Linked DNA regions of Drosophila melanogaster. The protein of the gene in region 2 purifies or fractionates together with the protein of the main gene of each other region. This does not show direct contact. Each region holds a gene or a part of one and is shown on either strand. Other genes may lie near its edges.

Region 1 (5,019 bases), on a different chromosome or scaffold from region 2:
CAAAGATTTGCTTAACTACATTCCAGTCGGCAGGAATAATATGGCCGAACTTTCCGACCGCAAAGTCGCTCGTTTGGGTGTTTATTAAATAGTGGTGCATTTCCATAATGTTTGCATTAAATGGCGCATAATCAGATAATTTAATAATCGCAAATTGGGCGTATTTGATGTTGAATTTTCAGTGACAATAGATTGAGAGTTCGATTTTGTTGAAACTAATCAATCATGAATATTCTATGAATATTTTATTCAATTTAGTCATTCTCTTTAATATTTATTGTTTAGTTTATAAGCAAATACACAGAGGCTTGAACCATACCCCGCACCGCACAAATTACCGTCGTTTAATGAGCTAATCAAATCAGGAAACAACGGTGAAATCAACTGTGAAATTTATGACAGTTTTCCGCTTCGCCTCGAATTAAGGATAACGAAAGGCAGTGGGGATGGGGAGTGGAGAAAGTGCCCGGCGTATCTCCGACTTTATTTAACTAATTTTGCATTTTCAACTCAAACTCGACTTTGGTCACGTATCCCTGCGGCTGGAACTTTGACCTGTTAAGCGCATAAAAATGACAAAAACGGTACGTGACTCATTAGCCGCTTTCGCCCAGGAAATGCCGCCGGGAGAAAGTGAGCGGGGAAAGCTGGCTTGGGCAGTTCAGCAGTTCAGCAGTTCATGAGCTTCGGCAAGGAAACCGGACTTTGGCAGCGCAATTAGTTCGGCAAGCTGCTCGGAGCGAGGCACATACGATCCTGTTTTGTGTATATGGCAACATATGCCCTGGCAGCAGCACATCCTTATCCCTGCCCCATTCGCAGGACTCCGGCTGGCTGAGCTCATGCGTTTTCATTTCCATTTCGGGCCCATAAAAACGGCAAAACGGAAAAACGAGAAAAGGCCGAGAGGCCGACCCAAAAAGAAGTAAATTGCAATGCAAATTTAATTTGGCTGCCATAAAACTCGACGAAAGAAAAACGGGCGGTGTTTTGCTTTTCGCCCGGCGAGGGGCGAGGGGGGCCAGACAGTCGTAAAACAGCGGCGGGAAAATCGAAGACTTTCTGCGGGGTTTGGGGTGGGGTAGCGGTAGTGGGGAATACGGGTGGAAGTGCGTGGCCGCCGCGCCAAGCCGGAAATGCAATTTGTAATTTTGTGCAACGATTTGTGGCAATTAATTGCTGCCCCACCACTTGCACCACCCGCCCCATGCGGCACCACCCAACTTTCGCCCAGTGCGCGCCAGACCGCAAGACACGGAAACCTCAATATTTATTTTTTGTTTCGCCTTCTTCTCGATGTTTTTTTTGTTTTTTTTTTTTTTTGGTCTGATACTTGTTTTTTTGCCTCTGCATTTGTTGGCGGCACAGAATTTATTGCATTTAATTTTTTTGCCATTTCTCTTCGAGTGTGGGGATTTTTTGGCATAGCTCGGCATCGAGTATTTAAGTGATTTCTGCTTAATAATAATTTAATTCCCAGCTTTTTTTATACGCCATGCCATTTGAAATCTTTTGTGATAATTTGCGCCGAAATCAAACAGCTGCAAAATTTGTATTTTTTGTTGGCTTTCCCCCGGCAACGTCGCCTATAGAAAGTGTGGCCGAACATATACATACATATGTATATGTGTATATAATCGCCTATATGTCCGTCTATATCTGTGCCGCGGTGTGTGTGATGTATAATGTATGGGAAGATTTATAATATTCGTGGGACCGTATAAACAATTCGCTAAGACGCACATAGAGAAATGGCACTTGGTATAAATAATGTATAGCCAGAGTTCGCCATGTTTTGGCCAATTTCACAAGCGAGGAGACCAGTACGGCAGAAGATCCCTTCAGAATATGAGAATAATGATTTATAGTCTTTCATAAGCCAAACGATCGGGGGTGGCCAACTATTGAGGAAATCATTCAGTTTTGGGCGGATTCTTTGGTTTAAACTTGTAGTTCCGTAAGAATATTTTCGGAAATATGTAAAATGGAATGTCATTTACTTTCGCAAAAATATGCGATGTTTTTATATAAATTCAATGCAAAAACAAGATGTTGTTTTGCGGCATATATCCCCCCACCAAAAGCTTGGTAAACAATACTTGAATCGAAAATATTTTTATAAAAATTTCCATGCTTAATAAATTTTAACGAACTGTTCTTTAAGTTGATTGCGAATATGCACTTAACATTAAAGCTTTTGGAAATAGTTTCCATTAAGAATTTCCCAAGTTCCCGAATTTTTATAGCTTCTTGAACGGTTTTCAAATTCAGAATACATATTGATTTTCATGGCTATTCGAATTATGTTTGTACTCAGCACACGCACAATAAGTTAGTTAATGGATAATGGCGGCTATTAGATGGATCCATGGGTCAGAGTTCACTCACCTCAGTGATCTTCATGGTGCGCTTCACCGTTTTGCGGGTAACTTCGGTGGTTTCCTCCACGACATCGCCATCCTCATCGATGGTCTCCGTTACCATTTTCTCGGTCTCGCCGGGAATCACCTCCTCGGTGTGCTCGGTGACCACGCTGGTTTTGCTCTGGGCATCGGGTTCGGGCTTGGTCTCCTCGGCGGAGCCACCGAAAACATCCTCAATGTCCGACATTGTCTCTGATTTATATCCTTTTCGATTGGAGTCGAGCTGATTCACTTGGCTTTCTCTCACGTTCTTGTGTTCACTTTCACTTGATCACTGGATCACTGATCACAACGATAACACATAACACGCAGAATTGCTTGGGTTTTCTTCTTTCTTATTTTCTTTCTTTTAGCCTGAAAAATACAAACGACCAGAGCTAGAAAAATGAATATTTTTTGTATATTCCGCTGGGCTTTTGGCAGCCGCTGGTTATTATATAAACAAGAGGAATTTCACGGCGCGCTGGTTTTTTAGTAACTTGTTTTCGACCTAAGGGCGGTATATTTAGAGGTACTGTAGATCCTTCGTGGTTTACGCAGATGCCTGGAGCCTTCGATCCTCTCGGGAAGTGCTCGATTATCGAACTGTAAAAACGTAACGTCGACCAGCGGCCACGAAAGGCGCGACAACAACGGAGAACGGAGAATTACGGAACAATGGGACTACGGAAGAACGGAACAATGGGACAACGGAATAACGTAGAGCCGTGGTGACAAAAGGCGGATAAAGCGAAACAAGTTGAAAGATGGAGCTATCGAAATCCCATCACATCACTTCAGCCTGTTTCGAAAACAAATCCGGAATAATTACGGAACAACGGAACGCACACGAGGCGAATTACACGATCACGGGTCTTCTACTTGCTGCCTCCGTCCTAGCTTCTTCTAATTCTTCTAGTTAGAATCTTCTGCCGTCTGCCACCGGAACCGACGCCGGAGAGCAGAGCGAGACGGTCTGAGTTCCGGAGGGTCTAGTGGGGCAGAGGCCCCCAATGTGTTAGCCGCAGGTGCGAGCGGGACGGCCCGAGACCCCCAGCGCTCGGGAGAGCGCCAGCAATTCTCCACACTCTCTCCTCCACTCTCACTCTCAGTTCTCTGCCGATCTGCTGCCGCTGCTGACGTCTGCTCAATTTTGAACGTTGATCTTCGTCGCGTTTCAAAAGTTTTTTGTTGCCTTCGTTCCGATCTTTTCTACACTGTGTGCCTCTACACTGAGAGAAAATCCTACCAAATTGGATTTACATTTAGAAAGCTTTATTTGGTAAAAAGAGGAAACTATCTGACAATATTTCGTATGTTAAAAAGTAAAAGTACAAGGCTGTGATCCCACATGTATCCTAATCCTTCCGAAATTGAACTCCAGAGTTCTATAAAATATCAAAATATCTGCAATGAAGTAAGAAGTGAGTTAACCATTTTTCTGAGTGCAGTATTTCTGTTCTTTCTTTGAGCAAATGTGAAATTTGAATGCGAATGAGTTCGCTCGCTAATTGTCCGCCTGTTGCAATTTCTTCGTTTGACCAGGCGAATGCAATTAGTGCGGCTGCCGGACGTCTGAGGCCCGTCAGAATGTGAAACTCCGCCGTGAAGTGCCAACACTCCTCATTCGCCATCTCATATGGTCTGTACTCCCCTTACTCCGCATACCCCCTACTCTCCATACTCCCCGTCAAAGACCCACGCACTCTTCTCGTCAATGTGCGTGGAGCTATTTTGGGTGGATTTAACAATAGACAGAAAAAAGAGGCAGCCAAGGATGAAGATAGTGATATCTTCCGACTTTGGAATACCTAAAAAAGAGATTTTGATAGTAAGAATAGAGTTTTACAATAAGAATTATAGAATGTTTATTCAAGAAGTAAAAATATCTTATAAACTTGAATTTAGATAGATTTTAAAATTAATTTACAAACCAATTTGTCCACTCTATCAGAGGGACTTACTATCCCCATAAGCCCGTGTTGCATTTCCCTTTTTCCAACATTTTTTTTCCAATAAGCCCAGACATCTCATCGATACCCTCTGTGGGCAAACAACTCTGAATCGGGTGGAATACATTGGGCTGATCCGGCTGGCCATTTGGCCGGGCGGCATTTGACGCCGTCTTTTCCTTTTTCATGCGCTTTTCTTTTTTTTTCCTTTATTTTCCGTTCGTTTTTTTCCCTTTTTCCTTTGCCGTGGCCAGCGTTCGATGTGCGAGTGGAGGCAGTGCATCACAGCCAGCGGGGCCTGTACAGGGTGCCTTGTGGCAGGGGCATCTGTCGGAAGATGCCCATCTCAAGTGATTTCACCTTCTGCCTTCTGTCCGATTTCTGATTTTGTGCTGATTCCGATTTAGATTTTTGATTAGCGAACGCTTTCAATTGCTGGCATTTGGGGGCTTTAGTTTTGACAGCGATGTGCGGACTTCCTGTATCGCATCGCGGACTGCACAAGATATATGAAAGACAAGTGTTTCGAACGGACCCCCGGTTTTCCCCGCAGCGCTGTGTAAACAAAGCGCCAAGCACACGCAAGACGGAATATTCTAAAATTAATTCTCGAAAATGTCTTTTCAGCTCGGCAAACGCAGCGACATGATGCGGGACAAATGCCT
Region 2 (5,564 bases):
ATTCGGTAGCATTGTATTTCATGACCGTGACACAGGTCTGGTAGAGTATCTGGTTCTGGTAAACGGCATCTGATGTAAACAATCTGATTTATAAACGCCCCCACAACACAGTAAACACATACATGTATGTACACACCTGTTAGGAATCTGCCAAAGAAAACCAGAAACACGGCGGGCTCTAAAATAAGCGAGCGGGGTCGTTTTAGCCAGCTAGAGAATGTCCTATTGCTGGGTGGCGGCGACCGCACTTCGATGTCCAGCGGTTCATCATCAGCGCCAATAATTGGCTCCTCATCATCTCTCGGCATTTTGTGGTTCAGTAAAGGTCGCGGTGATCGCAGCAATTATCGTGTAGACAAAGGAATTAACGATTCATTCAGCCAAGCAATATATCGTAGCGGGAACTGAGTTAAACATCTGTGCGCGCCGAACTCGAGTGATAGACTAACTGGAGGGAGCAGCTGAAATAGACGACGTAAACAAACAAAGCAAGCGATTGCCAATTTGAGCAAACCAAAGCGTTTGCTGCGCCCTATCTGCGCACGAACGCTCGAGCGGCTCCCTCTCGAGAAACCTCACATCGCGACACACAATTCCCATTCGATTTATGCTCAAAGATATTGAATGCTCGATGTATTCACACTTTATTGTCACACTGCAAACAGTTAAATCTTTTGTTCTTAACTTTACAATGCTTGCACATGCAAAACACAGTCCAAATAGCAGATATAGTATATATATACATATACACTGATCAAAATCATAATAATACTTGCAAAAATATACAAGGAGTACAAACACTAGATTAATTTACACAAATAGTTTCTAATCTTTTAAAACGAGAGCTCTTCGCAGCGCCTGCAGAAGGAATTTAACTTATGAGATACATTCAGCTAAATCGGTGCTCTGGAGAGTTTGTTAGCTGCCAATGGCCTGGTAGACACTGCTACTACCCATCGACTTCTGGATGCCGAAGATCACGCTGTATTGAAAAGTATTCGCTTTAAACTGGACTTGAACTGTGCTTGGTAGGACTTACGCTATCAGAATGTAACACACAAAGTAGAGAGCGGCGCTAATAAAGTTGAAAGCTCCGGGATAATTTTCCAAAGTTGCCTTGTAGACGGTTGTGTACAGAGGTGCAGCGCCCAGTGGCGAAACCGATTCCATGGAGGTGGTCAGAGCAAAGATCTTGCCTAAATTATTTCATATGGTTTTAGTTAATGGTATTTGCAGGCTAAACACTTTGGGTACGTACCAACTTCAGTCGCGGGTGCAACGTGCGAGAGAATCGCGCGGCACATAGGTCCCATGACGCCACGCATCATACCCAGCGTCATGCCCAGATACAGCTCTTGCCAGTAGACTGCTGTGGCTCGAACCGTGCTCTCCAGAACACAGCAAGCCAGGGAGAGCATTGCCATGGTTACGATAGACATCTTTAGAACGCGGCGCAATACCAACATGCCAACGATGCTGCCCACAATCTGGATCACGATGCGGGATGCGTTGAATAGACTGAAGTCCTTAATGGTCCAGTTGAATTTATCCTGCACGAACATGTAATTTACAGTGCTCTCTCCCTCTGAAATCATTATAAATTAACTCATATAATCTTAAGTTTGAATTATGTTACCCATGTCGAAAATGGCTATCGTAAGGGCAATCATTGTAAGCCAGATGATTGTGCGATCAAAGTTGGGGCGCCTCTTAAAGCAGGTGCGAATCAGGTCCGTGACCAAATCGAAACGGAAGAACTCACGGACTCGCGACTAAAAATGAGGGAAGGAGTGTTGAGATATTCGTTTCTTCTTAGCTATAGAAATTACTTACTCCGGTGTGAATGTCACCTGGATTTAGGCTTTCAGGTACAAACAGAAGCACGTACATCAAGGCAAACATCATCAGGCTACCAGCAATGGAAAACAACACCAGAGCATTTGTGGCAGCATAGATATAACCGCTGGCCACATTGCCCACCATTATGCCAGCACAGAGGGAGGCTTCATTGAGGACCATTCTTTCAAATAATATATCAAAATGAAATGGCATTCTTTGGATTAATAAATCAAGACTACCCATACTCACCTCAGAGCCTTCTTTCGCTCCTTGGCCACATCGGATATGTAGCAATAGATTCCAGTAATCAAGGCGCAAGTTCCGCCGCTTACGACGGAAGGAACCGAGGAAAGGAGGAACCACCATGGACTTATATTCGTGGACCTCGTTATGTAAGTGATTACTATCAGTATGAGTGCGCCAGTGAGGTAGCCTTTAAATACAATAAGAGTCATTTGTACAAGATGCAATTAAGATGTCCTGACTGATGATTATATACCCGTAAAAGTTGTCAGCAGGATTGGCCGCCTTCCGAACTTGTCGGACCAGGGACCCAGGAACAGACTCGCGAAGGCAGGAATAATGCTCTCTAGCAGAGAGGTTGTCATCATAATATTTGCAGAATACGTCTGTACTATCACCTCGACTTCCTGAAAAAACAGAAGTTCACTTTAGTAAACTGCACAACTGTACAACTGTGGATGAGTCAATGTGCCATATCTCGTACGTATAATTATAATTTTAACGCTTTCCTAGTAAATACTTCGATACTGCTTCGAAATGCAGTAACAAAGGATTTTGCTTACTTCTATTCCGGCCGTTGATAAGCCTCGACTGGCGTTCTAATTACCTTATCTCTAGCCTCCAAACAATGGCAGTTTTGCATTAGGTTGAGACGATTTGCTAATTTGATTTTACTTTGTCACGTCGGATGCTGATATAGTAAGATATACTAAGTAGGTCACGTCTTGGAAGAATATCGGCGAGCCAAATGCGAAATACATTGTTCTATACAGCAAAGGTCATAATAGTAGCAATTACTCGTAAAACAAGTTAATATTGTGATACATTAATTGTGGTTTTAAAATTGTTCAGCAGTTTTTGTAACTTAAACTTCAGTTTTTGTTTACAGTTACTGGATAAATTTGTTTAAAATTGCCATTTTCCTCATCGCCATAAAATCACAACACGAAACGCCCAGCAAAGCAGCAAAAATAATTTGCACAGAGATAAAAACCAGGCAACGAGAACAGAAACTACACAAAGTACAGATATCAAATTGTACATGATGTGTATACTATAAGGGTCAAATTAAATACTTACTTTATCCGCGTCCGATCCGCGATCAATGCCCAGCAGCGGTTCACATTGCGTGGCATTGAATTTCTCGATGGTGATGCAGGTTTGGTAGAGAATTTGGTTCTGATAAACCGCCCCTAAAACGCACACAAAGTTAATTCAATGATGCAATCCAATCGGTTTTACTGCCCTATAGCCATTATACCAATTAAATTTCTGGCGAAGAAGATTAAAAAAACTGCGGGCTCCAGGATGAACCAGCGATAGCTGCTGTAGTCATGAGGCGGCGGTACCGGAGGCGGGTCCACCTGCTCACTGCTGGCCGCAGATGATGCGTCCAGTATGCGTGGTGCCGAATCTTCGCCAGTCTCCACATCGGCCACCAAAGCCTCCGTATCAGAGCGAGGCATACTGCCGTTCCGTTCCGTTCCTACTTGCTCGCTATCGAGAACGGAACTCGTGGATGCGTCTGGCTTACACCAGTCTACCGGAGATAATGGAATTTACAATTCATTCACCAGAACGCTGCGCAGTTCCCTGAAAGTCTTCCAAACGCGACGGAGAGTTTTCAGATACTAAAGCTTCAGCTGCTTTACTGCTGATTAACGTGGATTTATTGTTGCTTAAATCCCTGGTACGTGTATTATTTTCACAAGTACAGCTGGCTGGATTCTCCCGCAGTTAACGTTACTCTATTCGAAACTTTCTAAATGCAAGCAGCAACAGCTGATTGACTTCTTCTTCTTCTGTGTTATTGTTTTGATTTCGATTTTCGATTCTTAGTGCTAGGGATGCCAACTTGCGGCGAATTGAGAGTTTGTGGTTTAAATTTTCTGACACTTTTTACTGGTTAATTAATTCAATTTATTTATAATTTTAGTAGCGTCGTCGGTCACGCTCTCCTCGCGAGTCCCGTTCCCGCTGGTCGTGACGGCCACGGTCACGTTCTCGCTCTCGTTCCCTATCCCGGCGATCTCTGTCGCCGTCCCTCTCGCGCTCCCTGATACTGTCGCGATCTTGGCGCTCTCGTTCGCGATCGTGGCGTCCATTGTTTTGCCGACGGTCATAGTCCTCGTTGTGGGTGTCCCGATTGCGCACCCTATTTCGCTGGCGGTCGTAGTCTTCCAGTTCGTCGTAGTAATCCCGGGAACGGGCGCTGTTGCCCTGCCCAGATCTTCGCTCGCGCTCCCGACTGCGGGACCTTGACTTGGAGCGAACTCTCCGTGGTCGTCTCACTGCTGTCGAATTCTCCTTAGGCCGGTTGGTCTCGTCTGCCTTCTCCTCGTCGCTGGGCAGTTCGTCGTCCAAGTCCTCATCCAGCACTGACACCTTGGGCTCGATTTCGTTGTTTTCCTCGAGAATGGAGCGCTTCTGGATGCGGGGCAGTATAATGTCGCAGACACGGTCGTTGCGCAGCAGTTCGTCAATGTACTCATCCATGTAGACAATCTCGAACTGGCCGGCGCGATTCTGGCGGCGCAGCTTTCGATTGTCTATGTACAACGGCTCCAGGTACTTGTAGCAGTCCAGGGCAGCTCCTGTGAGCCGTAGATAGAAGGCTCCCAATGCTCGAACGTACTTGAACTCCTCGTTCTTGATAAACTCCACTACGATGTCCTTTTCCGGCTGAATCTGCAGCATCTTGAGTGTGAGGCAGAGGAACTGGGTGGGCTTGATGTTGCCGCCGTAGACGCCTCCGACGAATCGCAGCTCCATTGCCTTGTCCACCAGAAGCTCCGCAGTGAGAGCAAAGCATTGCTCCTTCCAGTACTTAGAGTCGTATATCCTCGAACGGATGATCTTCTCGATGAGGTACTGCGGATTGGTGCCGTGCACGTTTTTGGCCTCCTTCACCGTGCGGTTGGCCATTTTCAGTTGAACCCTTGTTCCTTGTCAATCGTAACTCAAATAGGACTTTTCAATCCAGAAATTCGGGTATCTATTGGCAGCAGTGCAAAATGTGAAAATGCACCGAATATATTTATTTATTTTTCGGCGTTTGCTAACCAGAGTGGCCAGCTGCGTAAGGGAGAAATATGCCACTCCGCCAAGCGCATACACAAAGGCGATAACGATAGGGGACGGCAATCGGTATCGGGTGACGCATACGAACAACAGCTCCCAGACAACCAAGAAACGCAATAGCAGAAAAAAACTCACTTGTTCGCTAAATTCGGGTGAAAAAACAGATCAGCCAGGATGAGTTTCTTCGGGAAGATGTTCGGCGGCAAGAAGGAAGTGGCCCCCACCACCGGCGAGGCGATACAGAAGCTGCGCGAGACGGAGAACATGCTTATCAAAAAGCAGGAGTTCCTGGAGGCCAAGATCGAGGACGAACTGAATATAGCCCGCAAGAATGCGTCTAAAAACAAAAGAGGTATGAGAGGAGTGCGCCGAGGTCCTTGGCTTCCTAGTTGGTCACTCAA
Region 3 (8,047 bases), on a different chromosome or scaffold from region 2:
TAGAAACTTGACAAACCTTTAGATGTCAACTGATGAGACCTTATTTATTTATTGGGTATTCCATAATTTGATTATGATACAGATTATATTACATATGTTTACGCGTGGAATATAGTTTAAAAGCTCTAAACCGGCGAATCATATTTACAGGTCATGGTTGCCTCGATGTCCTCCACCGTTCGCGGCACAATCGCAAAGTTCTCCACGCCAGTCTTCGTGATGAGCACATCGTCCTCGATGCGCACACCTCCGAAATTCCGGAAGCGATTGAACATCTCTGCGTTAATGAATTTAGCAATGTTCGGATCGGCCAGAGCGCGGTCCATCAGCCAGTTGATGAAGTAGCAGCCGGGTTCGATTGTGACATACATGCCGGCCTTAAGGATGCGGGCAAAGCGCAGCTTGCTCAGCCACGGTTCACTGGGGCGCTTGGGCTCCTTGGGCAGATAGCCGCCCACGTCGTGCACATCCAGACCGATCAAGTGGCCCAGGCCATGTGGCTGGAACACGCCCGAAACACCTGCCTCGAGCATCTCCTCCACATCGCCCTTGAGCATGCCGCCCTCCTTCAGGCGCTGCAGCAACACCCTGCCCGCCAGCTTGTGCATGTCCACCCAGGAGACTCCGTCACGGGCTGACTCTGTGACCGCATTGCGGGCATCCAGCACGGCATTGTAGATGAACTTCTGGTCGTCGGTGAACTTTCCATTGGCCGGGAATGTGCAGGTTATGTCGGCCGCATAGCCACAATAGTTGGCTCCCATATCGAACAGGCAGAGATCACCATCCTGGACGGGCTTGCTGTTGGGTGCGCCCGCGTGTCCATAGTGCAAGATCGACGAGTTCGTTCCGCTGCCGCATATGCAGGTGTAGGAGGCATGCCGGCAGCCGCCCACGGAGTAGGCGTGGTGCAGGAACAGGGATTCGCCCTCAAATTCCATTCTACCGGGACGCATAAACCGCATCACCTTGATGTGCGCGTCCGAGGATACCTTGGCCACGTAGCGCAGCACCTCGATCTCTTCGGGTGACTTGATCACTCGGCACTCAGAGAGAATTGGATACAGCAGATTGCAGTCAGTCACATACTTCTCCTTGCCAGCAAAGTCGGGCGGCTGAAGGGTGAGCCCGCTATCGCTGTTGGTGCCACTCAATGTGAGTATCAGCTTGGGCGACGCCCCCTCCAGATAAACACTCATTTCGTCAACATAAAACACCTCGTCCACCTCGTACATGGCCTTGAACTCCTGCAGCCCAAGCAGTTCGCCCATCCAGGTGCCGTACTCATCGGGAAAGCGAGGAACAAAGAGAACACTTTTCTGTGCACCAGTTTTCACATCAATGGTTAGGATGCCGTAGCAGCCCGGCTCCTTGACACCGAACAAGTACTGGAAATAGGACTCCTGCCGGAAAACGTAGTCCACGTCGGTGTTGTACAGGCTCTGGTCCTTGCCGCCCTCGAGGAGCACCAGCAGGTTGCCGTCGTTGAACTTGAGGCCCGGCAGCAGCTCCTTAAGGATGGCCTTGCCAGCACGATCCCTGTTGTTCCGGAAGAGGGTCATGGGCACTGCGTAACCCGATCCCATCTGAAAGGCGGCCATGGTGTTGCGACGGAGGACAAAGTTTAACTGGCGCTCTGGACAACAATGAGTGCTCGAGCAAGTGAGATTAGCTGATAATAGCCAATAACCGGGCTAACAAAGGCAGTAAATTATGTGGGTTTTATCAGTGTTTTTTGTTTTCTGTTTTCGCAAAAGTATGACCGAGAACTGAACGCGAAAAAAAACAAGCTTAAATTACAATTCATCGATCGGGAATTTTATTTTTTTAAATATATTCTTTAATATTTTTAATTAGCTCAATTCATTTATTTATCATACGGTTTTCCTTTTTGGCAGCCGACCTTGAAAATAAAGGATTTCCCTAAATAAACACAGATTAACATTTTGTTCAAATGAGCTAGCAATTGAAACTAGTTCCGCAGAGCGAGGCACAGAAACTATCGATAACCTACAGCATCGGCATCATTCCCAAGTCTGGTCACACTGGAAGTGGCTTTTTTTGCAAATTTTATTTTCATAATTGAGAAAAATTTGCATTTTAAAGCGAAACAGCAACGGATTAAGCTCTCGAATCTCAACAATATAACAGCCAGCTTGTGGGCGCAGCCAGCAGAGCATCACCAGTATTAAGTATAGGGCGAACGCAGCCCAGTGACCGTTTTCCACCTACTATCCAATTTCAATGTCGGCGTCACAACGCGGCGGATGCAACAACAAATGAGTCGTTGTTCTGTTCCAAGCTAATTAAGTACACGCTGTGTGGGCCGCCGACTCCAATGCGCCGCTAGCGGGGATCACGAGCAGTTGGCGTCATGTCCAGTTCGGTGTTTACGGAGGCGCCCAGCGCCCGGCCGGCGGCAGCCGAAGCCGACTCCAATCTGGTTGTGGTCTACAGCAAGAGCGGAATCTCCTTCGACGAGCGTGCGATTGGGAACATCATGGGTAAGTGGGTCCAATAGGCCTGACACACGCTCATTGCTCCCCACACTGACATGGGCTTGTTGCAGAGGAAAAATCGATTTCCACCATTAGCGTGGTGCGGATTACATCGCCCACGCCGAGCATGGTGGACCAAGAGGAAGACGAACGGCTGGAGGAGCTGGCGAACTTTATGGAAACTGCCACCGACTCGGAGCTGGACAGTGACAATGGCAGCCAAAGTGGTGGCGATAATGCCAGTGAGATGGATGAACACGACGAGGAGAACCATAACACCGGTGACGACAACAATAGCGACTCCACGGAGACGGAAGCCGATGCCCCGCGCACACGCAAGCGAGTTGGCCGAAAGCCCAAGGCCATCAAAAAGCGAAAGCGACGCAAACCCAAGGAGCGTCCACAAATTGTGGGTTTGCGAGTGGAGCAGTTTTATGCGGACAACACGGCTGATATGGTTGTGAAAAATGCACTGAGTAAATAACGTACATCGATGTGGTCCAAATGATAAAGCAAAACAACATCATTATTTCGAGCACAACGAAAGTAAACGAACTTTAGCTTTCAACTAATTTGTATTCTATTTACAGAGCTTGCCGGAGTTTCCGTCTACAAAAGGACTGCGGAGACAGACGCTCTTATGGAAGTTATTCGAAATGACCACAACTACACACCGTTTACCTCGCCAGAGCAGCTGAAGAACCACAAGCGCGATGAGAAGATGGCCATGGAAATGCAGGCCCAAAGCCGCAAAATCATAATGCAGGCACCGGGCAGTGTCAAGCTAATCAATGCCAAAAAACGAGTCCAGGCCATACCCTTAAGCCCGGTGCAGGTCAAGGTCCAGAGACTGCCAGTCAAGCCCCACCAAGTTCAGCAGGCAGCGCAGCTGCAACCGAAAGTGCAGCTGATCCGCAAGCCCATCCATTCGCCACTGCCAAGACAGAAGCCAGAGATTATCGCGAACAATTCGGTCAATGCCAGGCTGAGGCCCACTCGTGCTCCAGTCAAAGTGATTGCTCCGCCTGTGCAGGAATACATCGAAGATGATGATGACGCCCAAAGCTCGGATTCCGCCGAAGAGGAAAATGCCGACAAGGCCTATGATTCGGAGGAAATGAGTGAGGAGAGCGATGAGTTCCAGGAATCGGACAACGACAGGGACAGTGACATGGACTTCGATATGAGGCATAGCAATAGACGTAATCCGAATAAGAGGAAGCGGGTTAGAAAGGTGGTTAGGCAGACTCCCAGCAAACCAATGAAGCCGCTGCCTCCGCCACCCACAACGCCGCAGCACTTCCCCGAGCTGAAGAAACGCAAGGAAGTTTTGGAGCCGAAGGCGCCGCAAATTGGGCAAATAATCCAGATGCCTGCCACAAAATCAGTGCCCGCAGTGTTTGCCCTAGGCAGAGGTCTTCCAAGCACATCGTTTCTCAAAATCCGGCCCACACATCAATCGCTGCCTGTGAAGAGACCTCCACTGCCAACGACACCGGCCAATTCCAATGTTCGTCGTATGCCTGCCGTGCAATTGGGAAGGATCGTAAACTCGCCGCAGGAAGTTAAAGAGATTATTATCAACAAGAATATGGCCAGTCCCAAAGGAGTGTTTACCAATCTCAACACTTTGCTGGGTGAGGACAACAATGCAGCCACAAAATCTTCGCCAGTTCCACTCCGACACCGGGCCGTCATGTCGCCAAGCACGCCGAGATCGAGCTACAATCAGCAGATGTCGCCAATTGTGGTTCCGGTTCCTGCTCAGGCACATACCCCATCCAAGGGCTTCATGCCCATCGGCGTGGACACAGCTCAGTCGCATAAACTGCCCGCCCAAATAGTAATCGAGACGCACCAGAGTTCCTCCGAGCTGGCAGCAGAAAATGACAAGCAGCTCGATCTGATCAACTCGATTGTGCAGGACGAGCTACTTAAGTCCACGCTTGTGGAGCAGCCGGTAGTAAATGCGGACGAGGATATACCGAAACTGGTTAAGATGCTGGAGAGTACAGCGGCGGATCTAGATCCGCCACCAGTGTCCTTGCCTACGAATATTTTTCCAGCTCCCGAGATGCAGGGAGTGGGAAATGCAGCTGCAGCCGATCCGAATAATATAATGGATACGGCGAATGAGGATGAGATTACAGCTGATTTTCTCCAGCACGTGGTCGGTCTCATCGAGGAGGACAAACAGTTTGAGGCCGAGGTGGTTAAGCAAGTATTGGCTAGTACAGAGCCCGGAACCCTGGACGCCATCGTATCTATGCCTACGTCCATTGAGCCCGTAGACGTGCCGCAAGTACAGGCAAGTGTAGAATATCCTGGTTATTGATTTTGCTAGCTAACTGCATTGCTCCTTTACAGGCACACACGAACCTACTGCCGAATGCAAGTCTTACGGAGCCCGCACAATCGATGACCTCATTGCCGATTGCCTGCAGTACACCCTCGAGGAGCGTGGCAGCAAGCACTCCGCCCACCTCCGCGAAGGTTGTGCGCGGCTACGGTCGGGTCATATACCTGCCTCCCATTGAAGCCCCCACCACGCGGGCCAAGCGACGAGCACAGTTTCCTTCAGCTCCGGGCATGGCTGCGACCAGTTCCAGTGATGCAGGCAACCTGTCGTTTGGTGAATCTTCGTTGGATGCGAGCATCAATCAGCCGCTCAATACCAGCAGCCTGAGCAATGACAGCCAGCCGGGAAGTGGGCCGAAACGACCCAATCCTAGAGAGCCATCGATGGCCAGACGTTCAACGGCACCCAGAAGATCAAAGAAGCTTGATGCAAGTCAGAACAATGATCCCGACGCTTCAGAGTCTCAGGAGGATGACGATGACCCCAACAAGTAAGATTATAGTTGGATATTTCATAGATGCAAATCTGTGCGTTTGTTGAAAACCTTTTTTGTTTTTTTTTTTTTTTTTTTGGTTTAGGCTCTGGTGCATTTGTCGTCAGCCACACAACAATCGTTTCATGATCTGCTGCGATTTGTGCGAGGATTGGTTCCACGGCACATGCGTGGGGGTGACCAAGGCGATGGGCACAGATATGGAAAACAAGGGCATCGACTGGAAGTGCCCCAAATGCGTTAAAAGGCAGGAGGAGAGGGTAAAGTCATACAATAGACATAAAGTTACCTTTTATTGATTCGTTATCTTTGTAGAGCCAACCACGAATAACAGACATGTTGGTCACCAGACCAACCACTCAACCTGAGCAGAGGCCGAGTGAAACCAAAGTACTAACTACGACAGCAGAAATTGTTCAGGTCGCGGCTCCTTCGGCTCCCAGAAGAACACTACCGGTGGTCTTAACTGTAGCCAGTTCCCCCATGCGTATTCCAATGGCAAAGCCGGCCAAAAAGTTCCCAACCGGTGCAATCTCTCACCAGCAGCAGCAGCAGCTGAACTTTATCAGACTGGGCCCATCACCTGGCAAACGAATTTCGGAGACGTTATGTGTGGTCTGCAAGCGACCGGCGAGCACCTCTTCCGTCTATTGTGGCGAAGAGTGCATCCGGAAGTATGCCCAAAGTGCAATTCAAGCACATGCTGCTACCAAAGGCCCATTGCCACAGAATGCCGGTGCTCAGTCTTTGCTGAACAACTCCTTCGATGCCAAAAAGAACAAGAAGAAGGACTTGTTTGAGGACGTGCTGAGGCAAGCGGACACTGTGTCAAAAGTGGAACGGGTATGCAATAAAGGTTAATTTAATTAGAACTATACAACAAATAATGTGCACACTTTGCTTTGCAGATTAATGTGTTTGAGCGTAAAAGTGGTCGGGTTATCACCGGGCACATGGCCCCTTCTGCACATCAGTTTCGGAAATGGCTTCAGGAGAATCCCTCCTTCGAGGTGCTGCCCTCAGGAACCGTTCAGTCAGCCGACGCAGAGAAGCGTTTGCTGAAAGGGGCACCGGAAGCCGCCACCTCAACTTCAGAACCCGCCGTGCTAGGAGTTGCAAAAAAGCCACCTGAAGGTCCTGCCAAATTGTCCCATCCCCAAAACACCACAGTTCAGGCAAGCCACCAACTTGGAATCTCTTCCGTGCGTCCTTTGGCCAAAAAGGATAAAGAGAAGACAACACCTACAGTACAGGCGCCAACCCCTAATCGTATCGCAGCGGGCAAACCCGAGCCGGTTCGAATCGGCATCCGGCGATCACTCAGGGAGCAACTACTAGCGCGAATCAAAGAAGCTCAGGCTGCCGAGGAGAACTCTGGCCAGCCAACGACTCAGTGGCCGACCGTACTTGAGGTGGATCAGTTTGTCAAGAACGTGGAGCTGGAAATGTTCAACTCGTTTGGCCGAGACGTGGGAGCCAAGTACAAGGCCAAGTATCGATCGCTTATGTTCAACATAAAGGATCGCAAGAACCGAACGCTTTTCGAAAAGATTTGTGCCAAGCAAGTGGAGCCCAGGCAGTTGGTGCGGATGACGCCGGAACAGCTGGCCAGCCAAGAGTTGGCCAAGTGGCGGGAGGAGGAAAACCGTCACCAGTTGGATATGATCAAGAAATCGGAGCTGGACTTGTTGGCATGTGCCCAAAACTATGTGGTGAAAACACACAAGGGAGAGGAGGTAATCGCCACCAAAGTGGATGTTACGCTGCCCGAAGAGAACGTTAGTGAAGCATCATCTATGGCGGACACAAAACAGACGTCGCTGGTCAGTGAGCCGTCTACCTCCACACTGGAACGTTCCACGTCCAGGGAAAAGGCGGGTTCATCGAAGGAAAAGCGACACAAGAGCCACAAGCATCATCATCGAAAGCGCAGTCGAAGTCGTTCCAATAGTCGGGGTCGAAGCGTCGATAAGCGCCATCGCAGGCAGCACAACGAAGGAGGAGAGCAGCCAGGCAGCGGGGAGCGTGAGCATAGATCGCGTGAGAAACAGAGCCGGGAAAGGGATGAGATCGTTCCATCACCCTTGCCCAAGAAGAGGGACGAAAACGACCAATCGCCGGTACCCAAAAAGACGGCGGAAAAGAAAACCGAGGCGAGTGCTTACAACTTGGTTGATCAAATTCTGGAATCGGAGAAAACAGTCGAGCAGGCGGCGAATCTAGGCAAACCAAAGCCGTCACCCAAGCCACTTCCAACGCTTCCGAGTTCTTTGAAGGCACCTGAGCCAATGGACAACTACTCCCGCTACTTGCACGGCCTGACGACGAGTTCACTGTGGTCCGGTACTCTCAAGATGATCGATTTGGCCGACTTCGAAATCGTCATGTACCCCGTGCAGGGTAACTGCCATCAATTGGGTAACCTGATGCCAAGTCAGATGGACGTAATCGGTCGCATAACCCGCGTTAATGTCTGGGAATATATCAAGAAGCTAAAGAAGAGTCCCACAAAGGAAGTGGTCATTGTGAACATATTCCCCGCCTCGCCCAGCGAAACGTATAAGTTTGATCTCTTCTTCGAATACCTGGACTCGCGTCAGCGTCTGGGCGTCCTGGGCGTGGACTCGGATCAGATACGCGACTTTTACATATTCCCCTTGGGTAGCGGCGATAAGTTGCCACCAGCGCTGCAGACCG

What was found.
Region 1: the proteins of CG30344 (region 2) and tmod purify together in Drosophila melanogaster (affinity purification with mass spectrometry, with the first as the bait; one large-scale study listed by BioGRID). This does not show direct contact.
Region 3: the proteins of CG30344 (region 2) and pps purify together in Drosophila melanogaster (affinity purification with mass spectrometry, with the first as the bait; one large-scale study listed by BioGRID). This does not show direct contact.

What each region holds. Positions count from the first base shown.
Region 1 is NT_033777.3:30,530,877-30,535,895, reverse strand, and holds the start of tmod (tropomodulin), read right to left. Parts: upstream 3,060-5,019; 5' UTR 2,914-3,059; exon of another isoform or gene 2,801-2,913; 5' UTR 2,611-2,800; coding exon 2,389-2,610; intron 1-2,388.
Region 2 is NT_033778.4:9,143,571-9,149,134, reverse strand, and holds CG30344 (uncharacterized protein), read right to left. Parts: upstream 3,876-5,564; 5' UTR 3,549-3,875; coding exon 3,344-3,548; intron 3,276-3,343; coding exon 3,163-3,275; intron 2,490-3,162; coding exon 2,339-2,489; intron 2,273-2,338; coding exon 2,089-2,272; intron 2,021-2,088; coding exon 1,834-2,020; intron 1,773-1,833; coding exon 1,637-1,772; intron 1,586-1,636; coding exon 1,259-1,585; intron 1,197-1,258; coding exon 1,040-1,196; intron 983-1,039; coding exon 919-982; 3' UTR 623-918; downstream 1-622. Other genes in the region: CG30345 (uncharacterized protein), read right to left, coding at 1-69, 137-308; Prp38 (pre-mRNA processing factor 38), read right to left, coding at 4,015-5,007; shrb (shrub), read left to right, coding at 5,338-5,515.
Region 3 is NT_033777.3:12,411,783-12,419,829, forward strand, and holds the start of pps (protein partner of snf), read left to right. Parts: upstream 1-2,045; 5' UTR 2,046-2,374; coding exon 2,375-2,504; intron 2,505-2,569; coding exon 2,570-2,974; intron 2,975-3,088; coding exon 3,089-4,806; intron 4,807-4,865; coding exon 4,866-5,347; intron 5,348-5,435; coding exon 5,436-5,610; intron 5,611-5,665; coding exon 5,666-6,193; intron 6,194-6,258; coding exon 6,259-8,047. Other genes in the region: Dip-C (dipeptidase C), read right to left, coding at 126-1,601.